Linked DNA regions of Notamacropus eugenii. The protein of the gene in region 2 interacts with the protein of the main gene of each other region in a pairwise test. Links are inferred from orthologs where the notes say so. Each region holds a gene or a part of one and is shown on either strand. Other genes may lie near its edges.

Region 1 (8,343 bases), on a different chromosome or scaffold from region 2:
GGCCTTTGAGAGATTCCAGATCCTTGTTGGTGAAATGAAACTGGACCATTCTGGAATTTCTAAAGAGAGGACCCAGTGTGGTCTGCAAAAAAAAAAGACAGGAATATGTGCAGCAGGGGTTGGTGAGGGGCCCCAAGAAGAGGGACCAGAACAGACAAGCTGAGAGAAGGGACGAGGGCAGACAGGTAGCAGGGACCAGCGGAGGCCGTTGAAACATGGCCCAAGGGGGCCTGGGGTGGGCCTGCAGCTCAGGGAGAAGGGGAGCCCCAGGCCCTGCTCTCACCAGCAGCTGCTGTGGGATAAGCTGCATGATCAGCTTCTGGGGCCACTGCTCTGTCTTCCTGCAGAGAACAGAGAAGATCTGTGGTTCTCACCCCTCCCCTGCCTCCTGCCTCTCCTCCACTCCTCTACCCCACCTAGACCACCCCCCACACTCACAGGTTCTCTCCCTGGTTCACATAGACCTGGCAGGGCAGGGACCTTGTCAGCTTCGTGTTGGCATCCACTGAGGCCGGTTTGGGTTTCTGGAAGGCAGAGGCAGTGTCACGGGAGCCCCTCCTCCCTACCCATCTGCCTCACCCCTCTCCTCCAGACCCACCTACCTCCTGCCACTCAAGGACACCACTCCATGCCAGGACCTTGTTGGTGACTGACTGCTGCCCAGCCCCAAGTGCGGAACTCCCCAGCTGAGCCGGGCTTGGCCCACTCACCCCGGCCGCAGCCACAGAGCCAGCCTGCTCACAGGAAACAGGAGAGCAGAGGGTCAGCCACAGAGAACCCAGGACAGGGGACCCTGAGGGAATAGTATGTGTCAGAGAGCTCAGATAGGGCAAGCACGTACCATGGGGGGCCCTCCAGACTGGGTAGCAGAGGCCAGCCCAGACCCAGGAGCAACTGCTGCCACCAGGCTAGGCTGGGAGGCTGGGGGCAGCTTGGGAGCCCCAGGGGGCCCAGGAGGGAGCGGAGGGGCTGGAGCCTGGCTGAACGGGGGGCCCACTCCTGGGGCCGCTGTCTGCAGAGGGTTGATGGGTGAGACTGCCAGGAGAGAAAACAAGTTGCAGAGCAGGGCCCTGGGGTGCCTACAGAGGGTCCATCCCTCACGGATGACTCCTCTTCCCCACCCAGAATGCCCCCCCTCCCTCAATACTCACAGCGTGGGCCCAGTCCTGCCTTCTGGTTCTTGGCAGCATCCACAGCATTTTGAGCAGCCACCTGAGCTGCACTGAGATTACTGGACACCTGGAAGGAGGGGCAGACAGCCCTGGGAGCCCCCACTATCCCCAGACCCAGCCCCTCACCCCCTCTTTCCTAGATAACCCTGTTGCATACCTGGTAGGGCTGGGAAACAGGAGGCAGTGGCTGAGGGGGTGCAGCCGAGAGGGAGGTCCCAGGGGGTGGTGCTGGAGGTAGTGGCACGGGCTGCTTGGACTGGAGGGGGCCTGGGCCAGAACCTCCACCCACTGAGGGGTGGTAGGGCCAGAAATGCCAGAGGAAAACAAGCAACTTTAGCAAAGCACTCAGATGCTAGGCCCAGACCAGAAGCCATTGCCCACCTTGGACCCCACCACCCCCCGCAGGGTCAGGACCCAGCTGAGCCAGAACCAAGCTCCCCTTTGTTCCCCTTCTGCTCCTGAAGATCTTGGAGCTCACCAAGGAGCTGGGTCCCTGGTCGCTAATGCAAGGAATGGGGCCACCACCAGACAAGCACAGGAGCAGGCAAAGCCATCTGTCCTGCCCCCCCCACACCTACCACTGTGCTCCTTGGCACCGACCTGGCAGCACCAGGCCTCGCACCAGCACCATGTGCCGTGGATCCTGGCTCACATCCGCTGGTTGCGTCTCCAGGATCGCCGGCGGCGCCGCCTTCTCGAACAAGAGCCGCAGGGCCGGCAGCTTCCGCGGGGACACAATGGAGAAGTGGATGCCTCGCTGTGGGAGGGAGGAGACCCTCAGAGTCGGCCCCCAGCGCGGCCCCCACTGCGGCTCCCCCTGTCCGACTGCCCCACAGACCTCCCCGATCTTCTGCACCAGGCTCTCGGTGGTGTAGCCCGAGTACGTGGTGCTCTCCACGGCCGGCAGCAGGTATGGGGGAGAGTTGCAGATGAGAAGGCAGACCCGATGCGTCTGGCCACTGGGAAGGAAAAAGGGGGCTCAGCCAGGGAGCGGGGGAGCTGGGTCCCCCCATGCCTGGGCCCCGCCCCCAGCCCAACCTTGGCTCCCCAGCCCAGCCTGCCACGCCCCCAACTCTGGGCCCCGCCCCCAGTCCAGCCTCCCTAGCCCTCAGCCCTGGGTCCCACCCCTGGCTCCCCAGCCCAGCCTGCCCCGCCCCCACTCCAGCCTTCCCCCCGCCCCCAGCCCAACCTTGGCTCCCCAGCCCAGCCTGCCACGCCCCCAACTCTGGGCCACGCCCCCAGTCCAGCCTTCCCCCGCCCCCAGCTCTGGGCCACGCCCCCAGCCCAGCCTTCCCCCGCCCCCAGTCCTGGGCCCCGCCCCCGCTCACATCTGCTCGCGCATCTTCTTGAAGTCATCGAACAGCTGCAGGGCCGTGCTCAGCCCCTCCGCTATGAGACTGCAGCTCTCGCCGCCGCCTCCCATGAACCTGCAGGGAGCCAGGAGCCAGCTGGGCTGCCCCTCCGGCCCGGGGCCCCGCTCCCCTAACCCCCGGCCCCCTCCCGTCCCCGTCCCGCCCCGCACTCACTGGATGCCGTCCAGCCACGTGACAAACTCGTACGCGCTGCTGGTGGGCGCATGGCACTGCACGTAGGACTCGGGGGCGCAGTCCACGGTGTTGAACACCACCAGGCTGTACTGCGTGCCCCCGTACTGCGGACAGAGCAGGGGGGAGCTGCCGTGCTCACCTCCCGCGAGCCCGGCCCCCCCCAGAGCCCCCGTCCCTCCAGATCCCCTAGTCCCCACCCCCAGGGGCCCTCGCTCACGTCTCCTCCAAAGTCGGTCTCCGCCGGGGGACCTCCATTGAAGTACCTAGCGAGCGAGAATAGGCGCGGTCAGGGCAGCGCGAGGGAGCGGTCAGGAGTCAAGGGTCAGGGGGTGCGGGCCCCACGCGGGGAGGGGAGGGGCAGGGGTCCCGGCGGGGCCGCGCACGCACGCACACACGCACGCACGCACTCGATGGCCGGCAGCAGGTAGTGCTTCCGCAGCCCCTCGAAGTAGGGACCCAGGTTGGCCGTGCCCTCGATGACGAAGACCACGTCGGCCACCAGGCCTCCGGCGCGGGCCGGCCCCTCGGCCCCGGGCACCATCCCGAGCCCCGCGCGGCTGCCTCCGCCGCCGCCGCCTCGGTCCCCTCCCGTGGTCGCCGCGGCAGCCCTGGCCGCACCCTCGACGAGGCGCCGCCGCTCCTGGCGCGCTCCTGATGACGCAGGCGGGGCGGCCATGTTGGTGCGGGGCGGGCCGAGCGGAGGCCCGGCCCCACAAGCCAATCGCCGGGAGGGGCGGCCTCTCACGCAGAGGGTTGCTGGGTGACGGCACAGCTCGCCGGTCGCCATCTTGGAGCTGGGCGGATGCCCGCCGCTGAAGCGCGCCCCGGGGGCGGTCGCCCGGCAACGTCTCATCTCGCGATGCCCTCCCAAACCGGCGAGAGTCTCGCCGAGGAGGGCGGTCGCCTGGCAACGCGTCCTCCCTGCGCCGCCCTCGCAGGGCCCGACGTTCCCCGGGGCGTGCGCGCCCTGTGGTTGCTAGGCTCCCGCGTTCTCGCGTCCTTGGCCGGTTGCTAGGCAACTCCACCCCGACGCTCCCCGCCGGCCGCGCGCCTCCGCTCCCGCTCGGACACACACACGTGCTTCAGCCTCCTCGTCTTCCCCCTGTGGCCCGGAACAGGTGCCCGAACTTCTGAAGCTCCATCCTCCCCACCCCCCCGGGCAGAGAGAAGATGACCAGACGCATGGGCTGGGCAAGCCTGCGGTCCTAGGAAGCGGGGACGGTTGAGGGCTACGTCGGGGGCATGCTGAGTCCAAGATGTCTGAGATGGCTTAACAGGGATGAGGCCCGAAGACCCGAGAACCGTCTGGTGGAGAAGCTAACCCGTGACACAGCATCCAGGAAGAAAAGAAGGGGGTCCGGGAAAGACGTCACAAAGGGGGACCCCTGAGAACGCCGTGAAACTGAGTCAGGCTGAGAGACCTGTTTCGGCTGGAAGCCAGATCACAGAAGGTACAGAATGAAGGGAGAGGAGAAGAAATACAAGTATTGGGTACGGACGGCTTCTTCAAGAAGTTCAGGAGAAAAGGACAAAAAAGGTCGGACTGCAGGTAGCAAGAGAGATGGTACCTACTGAAGTCATCTCAAGGACATGTGGAGTGCTGCCCCAACTTATGCCCTCCTCGAGCTGTGCTACCCTGCCTCAGCCACGCATACACCCCTACAAATGCATCCCTTCAGTATTCGAGAATTCCACAATCCTTGTACCTGATCGTAATCGAGTGGCTCTTCACCTCTCCCTCTGCCTTCTTTTCCATAAGCCTTATCCTTCATTCTCACTGGACTTCCAATCCCCCGGCCCTGCAAGTCTCTCCTAGGCCATCTCCCCTGCCCTAGCCACGCTCTCATTTTGTCCCCATCTTGACTTGTTGATGAATCCATTTCACCTTGTTGCTCTTGCCCCCTAATATTACCAGTTACACCCAGACAAGCTTCAGCCTTGGCTCTCCCACTGTTTTTCACCTTTTTGCCTGCACAAGTGAGGCCAGTCAACATGAGCTCCCTCTTTTCCCCTCTTCCCCATCTATCGTTCAGGTGCTTTCTCCTCCTTCCAGTCTCATATGATGAAGCGGCCTTGCTCCTTACTAAAGTTAACCCCTCTTTTTCAAGTAATCCTATTCCATTCCATCTCCTCCAACAGATTGTCCCCTCTATCATCCTCACTCTTTCTATTGGCTTGTTTCCTACTGCTTATATGCACACCCATGTCTCTCCTGGAAAAATCTTCAGTCAATCCATCCCTGCTAATTCTCATCCGTTATCTCTTCTGCCCTTTGTAGCTAAAGTCCTTGAAAAGGCATCTCCAACAGGTGTACTGCTGCTCTCCCTTCTTAACCTCTTTCAGTCTGGCTTCTGATCTCATCATTCCACTGGACTCCACTCTCCACTCTCTCCAAGGTGACCAACGATCTCTTAGCTGCCAAACCCGCCAGCCTTTTCTCATTGTCCTCAACTTCTGCAGCCTTGGACACTATTGGTCACTCTCTCTCCCTTGACACTCTCTTCTCTCTAGGTTTTCAGAACACCACTCCCTGCTGGTTTCCCGCTTACCTTTCTGAACCCTCCTCTGCCTCTTTTGTTGGCTCCTCTTCCATATCATACCCTCTAACCATAGGTGTCCCTTGGGCTTCTGCCCTAGGACCTCTTCTCCTTTCCTTCTATAGTACTTCCCTCGATAGCCTCATCAGCTCCCACCTTCATGCTGATGATTTTCAAATCTACCTTTTCTGCCCCAGTATCTCCACTGCCCTCCAGTCTCACATCTGAGATCCAGTAGCTATCTTAAACTTAATACATCCAAATGAAGCCCCCTACCTACCCTGTGATAGGATCAGGGCAGCACACTGGGAACCACTCCCTTCATCTTGTGACTCGGGTCTGGCGCTGGCTCAGTTCCTTTTCTATTCAGTTATGGGCCTAGTGCAATTTCTTTGTTGAGAGAAAATTTTATTCAATTGTAGGAATTGAGGGAAAACAGTTTTGTATTGTTTGGTCCTAGCCCTGCATGGCTGGGAAACTGGACCCCTTCTTCCTGCTGCTTAGAGACCCTTAACCAAGGACCTAGGTTATGCTGACCAGAAACCCAGTCAGATTCAAAGACTGATGCCAGGAGTTGTGTATCTCAAGCAATCCCTCCCTATGTCTTATCTGCAAACAGACCCTGTATGGATTAGTTATTGTTTCCATGTATCTTTGATTGTACACAGACACTTGCAGGGTAGAGGGACATGCCTTTTTCTGATTTCAGGGAATTGCACCAGTTCACTCTCCCCCTCTCAATTTGCAAAGTCTGTGTTCTTTCCTCCAGTTAGAAATCAGATGACCTAATGTTATATACTGGTTAGTGGTTTCATTTTAATTAATTGGTATTATTTGATTGTTTTTAATGTATCCAAATCTGTCTCCCTGTTTTCAAGGTACAGTGCCAAAGCTGAGGAAGGCGATTGGTTCCAATTTGTTGGGAAATAGTTATGCATCACTTCCTTGGAATGCTCGGGAAGTTCAGACCTTTGTTTGTTCAGTTATTTCCCCTGCAAGGCCTGTGGCTGTAGAGGGTGCCACCATCCTTCCAGTCCCTCAGGTTCCCAACCTAGGAGGCATCCTGGACTCAACCTCTCTTACTCCACCCTCATATACAATATGGTGCCAAGGCCTGTCAATTTTATCTCTGCAGCATCTCTAATATACTTCCTTCTTTCTTCTGACTTGGCCCCTGGTTCGGACCCTGGTGTCACCTCATGCCTGGATTATTGCCGTGGCTACAGGTGGGCTTGCCTGCCTCCAGTTGGTCCCCACTCCAACCCATTCTCCATTCAGCCACCAACGTGATTATCCCAAAGTTCAGGTCAAACAATGTCACCCCCAATACACAATAAAGGTCTGCAGCTTCCTGTTGCCTCTGTGAGCAAATACATAATTTGGTGTTCAAAGCCCTTCAGAGCCCAGTCCCCTCTTGCTCCTATACTCCCCTTACACCTCACTCCACAATACATACTCTTTAGTAAAGTGACATCAGCCTCCTGCCTGTTCCGTAGACCAGATCCTACCTCCCCAGACCTGGATCGCTCTCAGACTTCCTTCAAGTCCCAACTAAAATCACACGTAATCCCTCTTAATTGCAGTGCTATCTCTCTGTTAATTGTAGCCCAGCAGAGTGCCCAACACATAGTAGGTACTTAATGAATGTTCATGGGAGTATTTATAGGCATCAGAGAAGAAACCAGTGGATAGGAAGAGACTGGAGATTAGAGAGATAGGGGTTGATAAAGCAATCTGCTAGAGAAAATGTGGAGGAGAGGGCTGGAAATACGCCCTCACTGAGTGCCTACCAGGCACTGTGCTAAGCATCTACAGATAGAATCTCTTTTGATCCTCACAGAAACGCTGGGAGGAAGGCGACACTATTTTCATGTTATAGTTGAAGAAACGGAGGCAGACAGACATTAAGTGACTTGCCTAGAGTCACACAGCCAGGAAGGCTAGGTTTGCACTCAGGCCTTCCTAACTCCTGGCCCAGCATTTTTGCCACCGGGACATCTGGCTGGAGAAAAAGAAAACTTTCTGGAGGAAGAGGGGTAGAGCTATATAAAGGAGAGGGAGAACGGTCACTTCAGGTGAAGTACTCCTCAATCACACTGGTCAGCCACAGGCTCCCCCTGAATCCAGGGGCCTCTCCTGCACCAGGAGAGACACAAGGGAAAATCTCACCTTCGGGGGCAACGGGCCCAGGCCAGGAGCCAGCTTAGCTGCCCTGGCCTAGATGTATCACAGCAGCCGGGGAAAACATCGGCCCTGGGACCCTAGGCTGGATGAAACCTCAGCTAAAGTCAAGCTCCCTTTACCATGGGATTGTTGGCTAAGAGAAAAGATGCCCGGCTTCCACCCTGGGCAGCCTTCCCCCAGAGCTCTGGACCCTCCGCCTTTCAGATTCAGAGGGGCGGTTCACAGGTTCCTTTGGGGGTCTCCAGGCCTAAATCACGCACGAGGGTGCGTTATCCCTGGGGCCATTCCCTGGGCTCAGGGATGGAGGGGCAGCTTCTAGAAAGGGCTTCGATGTCGGCCCGCGCTGCGGGAGAGGCCTTCCCACGGGCCCGGGCTTCGATCTCGGCCCGCGCTGCGGGAGAGGCCTTCCCACGGGCCAGGCTTCGATCTCCACCCACGCTGCGGGGAGAGGCCTTCCCACGGGCCAGGCTTCGATCTCGGCCCGCGCTGCGGGAGAGGCCTTCCCACGGGCCAGGCTTCGATCTCCACCCGCGCTGCGGGGAGAGGCCTTCCCACGGCCTGGGCTTCGATCTCGGCCCGCGCTGCGGGGAGAGGCCTTCCCACGGCCTGGGCTTCGATCTCCACCCACGCTGCGGGGAGAGGCCTTCCCACGGGCCCGGGCTTCGATCTCCACCCGCGCTGCGGGGAGAGGCCTTCCCACGGCCTGGGCTTCGATCTCGGCCCGCGCTGCGGGGAGAGGCCTTCCCACGGGCCAGGCTTCGATCTCGGCCCGCGCTGCCGGGAGAGGCCTTCCCACGGCCCGGGCTTCGATCTCGGCCCGCGCTGCGGGAGAGGCCTTCCCACGGGCCAGGCTTCGATCTCCACCCGCGCTGCGGGGAGAGGCCTTCCCACGGCCTGGGCTTC
Region 2 (8,015 bases):
ATCACATCCCCTCAACAACACTGTAAAGGAATTGTTCTTATTGTCCCCATTTTAAAGATGAGGAAACTGAGTTTGAGAGAGGTTGTGTCTTGACCAAGGTCACAGTTAGCTGGTAACTGTCTGAGGGAGGATTTGAATTCAGGCCCTCCTGACTGCAAGTCTAGCACTATAGTTTACAATTATGCTTAAATTTTGCCTAAGTTGTCTAATATTTTAGGATAGTAGCTTCTCAGGGAAAGGAATGCAGAATCACAGAATGTTAATGCTGGAAGGAATGCTCTAACATATATACAGAGTCATAGTATAGGTCTTTTGATTGGTACTGAGAGATGAGATAACTTAGCCAAGATCACATAGCCAGTATGTATTAGACTCGAATTCATGTCTTGCTGACAACAAGACTGGTTTTCTATCCATTGTATCATGCTGCCTCAGGAAAGCACAATCACAGCCTTCTTGAGGCGCAGTAAACTAAATTATCTATCCTAGGATAAATACGCAAAGTATGTTCAGTTTCCCACCTGGGCGAGTTCTCCTGAGATGTTTCCAAGAAGGTTAATTGTAGATGCACCACCAGCACTACTCTCAGCATTATAAAATGTAAATTTTAAAAGCATCTATTTTACATGGGGCATGATGCCAAATCCTACTTAAAACAAGCTAGACAGCCAAGGTGTGTTCATCCTTCCTAGAGAAAGACATCACTCACCCACCCACTAGCAGCTAAGGGCTTTGAGTTTGGTTCTCCCTTTGGTGACAATAAGCTACACCCTACCAAAAAAAAGACCTCATTTTTTTTGCCTAATCTTAACCAATAGTATGCATCTGTGAAGGGCTAGACTGTATTAGGGACATATAATCTATGGCTCTAAAATAGAATTTTTTCTCTTTAATGTTAACTGAGCAACCCACTAGAAGTTCAAACCTAGGACCTTGGCCCCATTAGAACTAAGGGAACAGAGTAGTTATAGACAGATATGCAGAGGATATCCAGATAACATGAAAAAAAATGAGGGAGGAGCCATCAGAAATTATTTCTAACATATAGATGTCAGGTATAAATGTATCTGAGAGGTCTAAAGTAAGCATGTTGCCTATCACTCCCTAACTCCCCCCAAGATAGCAGATTGTAGAGCTGAAGTTAAATTTTAGGAAATAGGGTTCATGTGAGTAGACAACAGTTATGTAACTATGTCCTCATTGCTAATTCAAGAAACATATGATCTGTCCCTCTCCCTGTCACAAATTATATGTATTTCCACATTACTAAGAAAAAGGTTCTATTGACAAATCCTGGTAGCTTAAAGCATTATATAAATGTTATTATTTTTGAAATTAAGCCTCTTGCTCCCTAGTCAACATTAATCATATCTAAATTATTGATAATTACTCATTTTTTTTAATTTAAAAACCCCATGACAAATTCTGCGGCAGTATTTCATGTGTCCAGAAGCCTAGTAGGTATCATTAAGATACCCATGGAATAAAATAAATATTAATGAAATAAAACAAGAAGTGGCTGCATGGAATAGATTTGAGAGTCTGACCTAGAGTAGGGAGGATGTAGGTTCCAGTTCCACCTCTGACACTTACTGATGACACGATCTTGAGTGAATCACTGCTGCCAGGCAACTCTGTAAGACTATAAATCGGGAATCCACATTGATAGAGGGCATTTCCTCACCTGCAAGCTCCCTTCACTGATGAAATTACAGGTCTGAACAACAACAACAAAAGGTGTCAAAAAAACCATCAAAAATGATGCCTCCTTTTAGCAAATAGAGAAATGGAGGTAAAAAGACAATTAGTAAATTACTCATGAGCAAATAGGAAGTGATTTAAAACAACCGCTTTAATTGCTTTGGTCCTTTGTGCATTTTTTTAAATGCTCAGTGCATTTTGAGTGGTTAGTCTATGTTCGTCCTCATCTTGCACCTGAGCTAGCTTATAATTAAACAACCAAAAAACACATACACCTCAAACAACACTACTTTCCCAGCAAGCTCCTTCTCAGAGTTGTTCTGCAAGTTTATTCAATCTTGTCCATGAAGCCATGTGAAATCCGGTACCTTGATTTGGACTCCATGCCTTGATTTAATGTCCTGAGACAATCTTACCCTTATATCTATATGCAAACATAGGTATTTTTTAAATTATATCATCTCCTATGGGGAGGCTAGTTCCCTTCTTGCTACAGAGTTAAATTGACATTTCCTGAAACTTGTGGCTTTCCTCTCACCAAAATGAAAGTGTACCGTCCTTGCTGTGTGCTTTTGCCACATCATTACTGGACTAGCACCATGTGACACCGTCATATGTGGTACAGTCATTAATGAGGACACCAGCCTGCTGAAACAAACAAACCAATTTTTTTTTCCTTTTTCACACAAAAGAAAACTGAGGTCAAGAGTCGAAATAAATTGCTTGAGATTATAATGCAAATCAATGACAAGGTCCTTCTTCCTAGGCTCCTATCACTGGATTAGGCTGCTTTTTGGAAATCTTCCTTTCTTCTAGGAAACAGCTTGTTCAAAATATTTGGTTGGAACTGCCAAAAGTTGCTGTATTTCTACTATAACATAACAGGTAGTTGCCATATGTTCATGACAACTTCAGTGTATTCTCTATCAGATCTCATCAATGTGCACAGTTGGCCAAATAGAGAGACTTAGGTGATTCTGGAATATTTCTGTGGATTTCATGGAGAGAGCTGTGTCCAAAAAATATATTTTGTTGGGAGCAGTAAGTCCGTCACTACTGCACTAAGAAAAGGGTACTCTTCTTGCCCTCTGACTCAGCTGATTATGATTCCAAAAGTGAATTTCCATTGCACTTAGTTCAGACTTAACACTTGAACATAGTAACACTCTGGCCAACAGACTTTGTAAATATCCCTCAAGTCATATGGAAAAAGAAAGTGAATGGCTGTAAGCACTAGAGTTACAACATACTTGTAAATAACATGCACACACACCAATACACATACACACAGATTCCTTCCCCCTCAAAAAAAAGAGGGGGAAAAAAGACAAGAAAAAGAAAGGGGAGGAAAGAAATAGGAATACCTACTTGGACAGAAGAATCTCCCTCACAGCCTGTCTGTCTTCTTATACTATAGAATATGCAGGAGGAAGGATTATTAACCTTTCTAGCCCATTAAACAGCTTCTGTGCATGTGCCCTTGCATTCTCTGTTTTGGTGAAATCTGCTCTGTGGCAATACACAGGAGGTTGTTATGACCAAGAAATTAGGAAATGCAAAGCCTCAAAAATGAAAAGCTAGCACCACCATTTGACTAGAAGTGGAAAAATCTCTCTGAAAAAATGAAAGGCCTGCCTTTTCTCCATGCTAGGTCAGATTTTTCAACTTTCTGAGCATTTCAGGCTAGGGTAGAGGTTTGACAAAAAGTGGAATGTGTGTCATTAATCTGCCAGCAAAACTAATACAGTCCAGCTGATGTGTTTTCTGCCTGTAATAAAGCATAAAGTCTTGACAGGGGTGAATCTAACTAGGAAAAAGCATTTGTTCAGCACATAAATTTTGTGAACCTCAATTAGTTGCTGCTAAAAGCCATATGAAAACTCATGGGAAAGGGATTCTAGTCATGCCATTCAACCATTCCTTCTACCCATTTTCCTTCTTGACACTGAATAATTGGTTACTTAACTATAGTCAGCCTAGCCTAGATTAGCTTCTCCATGACTTTTAAGCCCTTCCCTCCATCATATGATCTTCTTATAAACTGTCTGGCATTTCCTGCAGTGATTTAAGTTTCTCTTTGACCCAGGAGATAAACATTTTGAAGTAGAAAATGAGCTAATAAAAGGACCTGGGAATTTAAAGAGCTTTTGAAACCTGTTTGTAATTTAAGAGTTTGTATCTTAAAGGTCTTTAAAAAATAAAAAAAGCTTAGTTGATGAACTTTGGTTTACTGTAAAAAAAAAAAAACTAAGGAGTTTTTGGGACAGGAGAGGAATAGATAGGAGGAAAAGCATCTCTCATATCTACTTTGCTAGACAAGTTGCCATTTCTTAAATGGAGAAGTTCCTTAAAACAGGAAAAAAGATAGACAATCAAAAACCAAGAAAGACAAAGATAGACAGACAGACCTAGGACAGGTAGACAGAGAGGAAGAGAAACAGAGAGAGAGAATGAGAGAGAAGGAGGGAGGGAGAGAGGGAAGTAAGGAAGGAAGGAAGAAAAGCTAGGGGAGTTGCCCAAGTAGGAAGTTTAGAGGGTTCAAAAGGAAGCCCTTCCTCTTTGTAATTTTAAGATTAGTGACAAGTAAAAGATAAATTATCCAATAAATCAATTCTTTGAATAGAAGTTTAAGAAAAATAACATTAAAAGCTTTTTCTGTATTAATCACTCAGTTATATGATTTGCAGACATTTCTGCCTTTTACTGCCAAATCTTTTGAGTCACTCATATGCCTCAGTGCATAGTTACCTATACATAAGTATATGATTAAAGATACAGTAGTACTTCAACAACTGAGAGATCTGTAGGAAGTACTGTGAAACCCTGTAAAATTATAATAGCTGACACTTACTTTACGTACTGATCTGGGAATATAAAATCTCATCTGATCCTCCCAAGAACCCTGTGAGGCAGATGGCACAAGTATTATTCCCCCATTTTACATGATGACAGGGAGGCTAAATGAGGACAAATAATTTGCCCAAAATGACACAGCTACTAAGTAGTAGAACTAGAACTCAAATTCAGATTTTTTTGGCTCATCCCAGGATTCTTTTCACTATACCATCCTGCTTTTCTAATTACATATCACCTTTCTTTTCCCATATTAGTTTCTGGAGAAGATACATAATTCTTCATGTGCCCTTTCAAGAGAACAATATCCACAATGACCATGATGTAATGGAAAACAAGGCTTAAAGGTGTGAGTTAGATTAGTGCCCTGAGCAATCTTGACTCTAGAGGATTGATGATAAGATATTCCTTATTCCTGTCAGTGGAGAGGTGGTAGACTACAAGTGCTGAATAAGGTATATGCTGTCAGGCATGATCAGCGCATTTGTTTGGTTTGTTTAACTGTACTGCTTTGTTGCAAGAGGAGGTTCTAACATTGGCAGAATGGTCCTTGGAAAGGATAGCTACAACCAAAAAAAGCTTCAATGAAAGATTTTTTAAAATATTTTCTCTCTTATTTTGTCATAAAATTTGCAACTGTTTAGTTGAATGGAATTCATCATCAATAACCAGAATAAATGATGAGAAAGTTAGCAAATTAGGATTTAAAGCAAACTGTCAAAACATAAGACAAATTTCAATGAACATTCGTTAACCACCTACAATGTCCAAGGCTCTGTGCTCAGTATGGGCATACAAAGAAAAAAAGAAAAAGAAAAAAAAAAGAAAAGAAACTTCCTTCTATTTCACTACTCAGATTTACTTCCCCAATATAACTTATTCAACTGACACATAAAGCCAAGAATTTAATTATAACTAGACTGAAACTGACAATTAAAAAAAAAACAATCCCAGGGTAAACATATAGTTCATCCAGGGTCACACTGCAACTAATATCCTGAAATCTTTTATGAAGCATTGAAGACAATGTAACTGTGGCATCTTGCCATCCATTACTGCCCCCCAATGTAACCCAAGTTCCCAGTAAAGACCAGGTTTCAACTAGCAAAGTAAATCAGAGAAATGAGGCAATATATCTGGGTCATTCAAGCAGAAATCTATTTTGTCTGACATCCAGACTAAAGCAGATTTTTTTTCATCTAATGGTTCAGTCAATAATAGGGTTTAGACATGAATTCCATAGATCATCTTTTTCTAGCCCTAATAATCGAGATCTCGCCAATGAGTATCCTTTAAAATTTCCCCTCAACTTGATTATAGTACCCAAGTGACTCTGAACTTCTTTTTTCATTAAATGACAAACTTAGTATGAAACTCTGCTCTCCAATTAGCCAGCCTATGGGAGTTTCCTAAGGTAAATGTCATTCTCGTGTATAAGATCAAGGCCCGGAAAGTCACAACATTATACTTCTGCCCAGTCTCTGAGTAGAGATTATTGAAAACATAGTCATAAGTCATAATATAGTCAACATCCACTACTTACTTACCTTTCAGTATGATTTACTCAAAACTTAAAGAACTTGGAGAGCAGCCAGCAAAAGACAATTCAAGTCTTCAAAAAAAAAAAATGTATAGTTTTACTTCAGTAGCCCAGTCAACCAGAAAATATTGTGGGAGAGAAATCAACAAATTTAGTTAAAGTTCACAGTTCTCATAATTTTAAATTTTAAATCTCACTGTGTAAATCACAAATGATTTGCACAAATGGTTTGCACTTCATAAATGCTTTTTTCATTTATTCTGTATGCAAAAGGAAATAATAAAATGAAGCTGTAAACATTCTAAAGAGGAAGAGTTGTGTGTATGCACATGTTTTAAAAATCTACTTTCAGGATGACTGGTTTGTCAGAACAAGTAAGATACCTGAGAGATTAAAGCATTTCAAAAGGAGAAAAGCTATTAATATTTCACTTGGTCTTCAGAAGCAGCTTGGACATAGCATAAACGAAGATAGTAGATGAATAGCTCCTTCCAAATTCTAAGGGACAATCTTCAACACTAAATGCAGTGTGAAAATAGACGGGTACAACAATCCGGGACTTTCTCTTCAATACTTTGCAGTGGGTTTGACCTTTCAGACTACAAATCAGGGAGGGGACTAGTTCGAAGGAGTCTCAAGATAAAGTTGCTAACAGTGGAGAAGCACATAGATCACTAAAGAGTTATTAGCTGTCCTAACAAAGTGCAAGCTGCTTGAAGACAGGACCTGTTTTCCTTTGTATTCTAAAAGTCTATTACAGAACCTGATATATAGTAGGTTTTACTAAATACTTGCTGGATTGGATATAATATGAACTGAGAATTATTTTTAAATCATATAAAAGAATGGAATTTTCATCAAATCACAGATTCTTTTCAAAGTGTCAAGAAGCTAAAGTCTAATATCTTAACTGGAGGAGAACACTTCTCTATTGAATCAATCAATAAATCATGGGCTTTAGACTAAGTACAGAAAAAAGTCCTTGTTTGATTAACTAGAGTGACTTTGCACAGGAATTATATTCCAATTAACTGAGGAAATTGTTATGTCATGTCAATAATCTATAAAAATCAGGTCATTTGGGGCCTGAAGGATTTGAGGAAGTAGAGAGGAGAAAACATTCCATCAAAATTCCTAAGAAAGAATTCATGCAGAAGGAGAAACCAGGCCCTGGGCTTTGATCTTCTTGTCAGTCTCCTCATCTCCTCCTCCCCACTCCCAGTCAAAGAGGACCCTCTCAGACTTAGGAGGACCAAATTAGGAGTCAAGGACAGACAAGACAGATTCCAGGCTCTATAAAGAGCACACCAGAAAATCTAAACAATATCCAATAGGAACGTTTTTATGATGCCAACAAGAGGTTTTTCCAGAACCTGTGTTATCCTTTGCCACATGTGCTTTTTAACCTTGAATTTACTTTCCCCTGGATTCTATATATATACTTACTAGAGAGTGTCACAGAACTTTTCTGGGGATGCTTTGTACCAACTCTACTACTGTAATAAATACCCCTTTCTAAAACTAAATGTCTGGCTGACAGATTGATCATAAACTTATAATTTTGGCAGGAAGCACACTGGTGGGGACTCAAAAGCCTTAGAAAGATATCTCTTCAGGATTAGCCCTAGAGCCTTAAGGAGACTTAGCTATAGTCTTTGGACCTTATTTATCAGTACAAGTGAGAACTGGGATAAAGACTTCCAGAATTTATGAGTCTACCAAAAAAAAAACCACTTAATGAGTTTATAATCTTATAATTGAGAGACAAGACTGCCACAGGAAATAATTAAAGAATGATGGAAGATCATGCAAGAGTAAAGTATGATAATGTAAACTATCCGATGTTGTTTATAAGAGTGACAAAAAGGGATAATCTTGTCATTATAGGGTAATTTGAATAGTGGCTACAACAGGATATCTA

The links. The genes of interacting proteins can lie anywhere in the genome.
Region 1: the proteins of ESR1 (region 2) and MED25 interact in a two-hybrid assay, tested with the Homo sapiens proteins (2 studies listed by BioGRID). The link is inferred for Notamacropus eugenii from reciprocal best matches to the Homo sapiens genes ESR1 and MED25.

Annotation. Positions count from the first base shown.
Region 1 is NC_092876.1:12,106,481-12,114,823, forward strand, and holds the start of MED25 (mediator of RNA polymerase II transcription subunit 25), read right to left. Parts: upstream 3,410-8,343; 5' UTR 3,396-3,409; coding exon 3,127-3,395; intron 2,983-3,126; coding exon 2,937-2,982; intron 2,824-2,936; coding exon 2,699-2,823; intron 2,600-2,698; coding exon 2,501-2,599; intron 2,132-2,500; coding exon 2,011-2,131; intron 1,930-2,010; coding exon 1,773-1,929; intron 1,461-1,772; coding exon 1,330-1,460; intron 1,240-1,329; coding exon 1,152-1,239; intron 1,036-1,151; coding exon 842-1,035; intron 735-841; coding exon 603-734; intron 525-602; coding exon 439-524; intron 342-438; coding exon 284-341; intron 83-283; coding exon 1-82. UniProt on the Homo sapiens protein: Component of the Mediator complex, a coactivator involved in the regulated transcription of nearly all RNA polymerase II-dependent genes.
Region 2 is NC_092873.1:243,779,809-243,787,823, reverse strand, and holds the start of ESR1 (estrogen receptor), read right to left. Parts: upstream 3,208-8,015; 5' UTR 3,070-3,207; intron 1-3,069.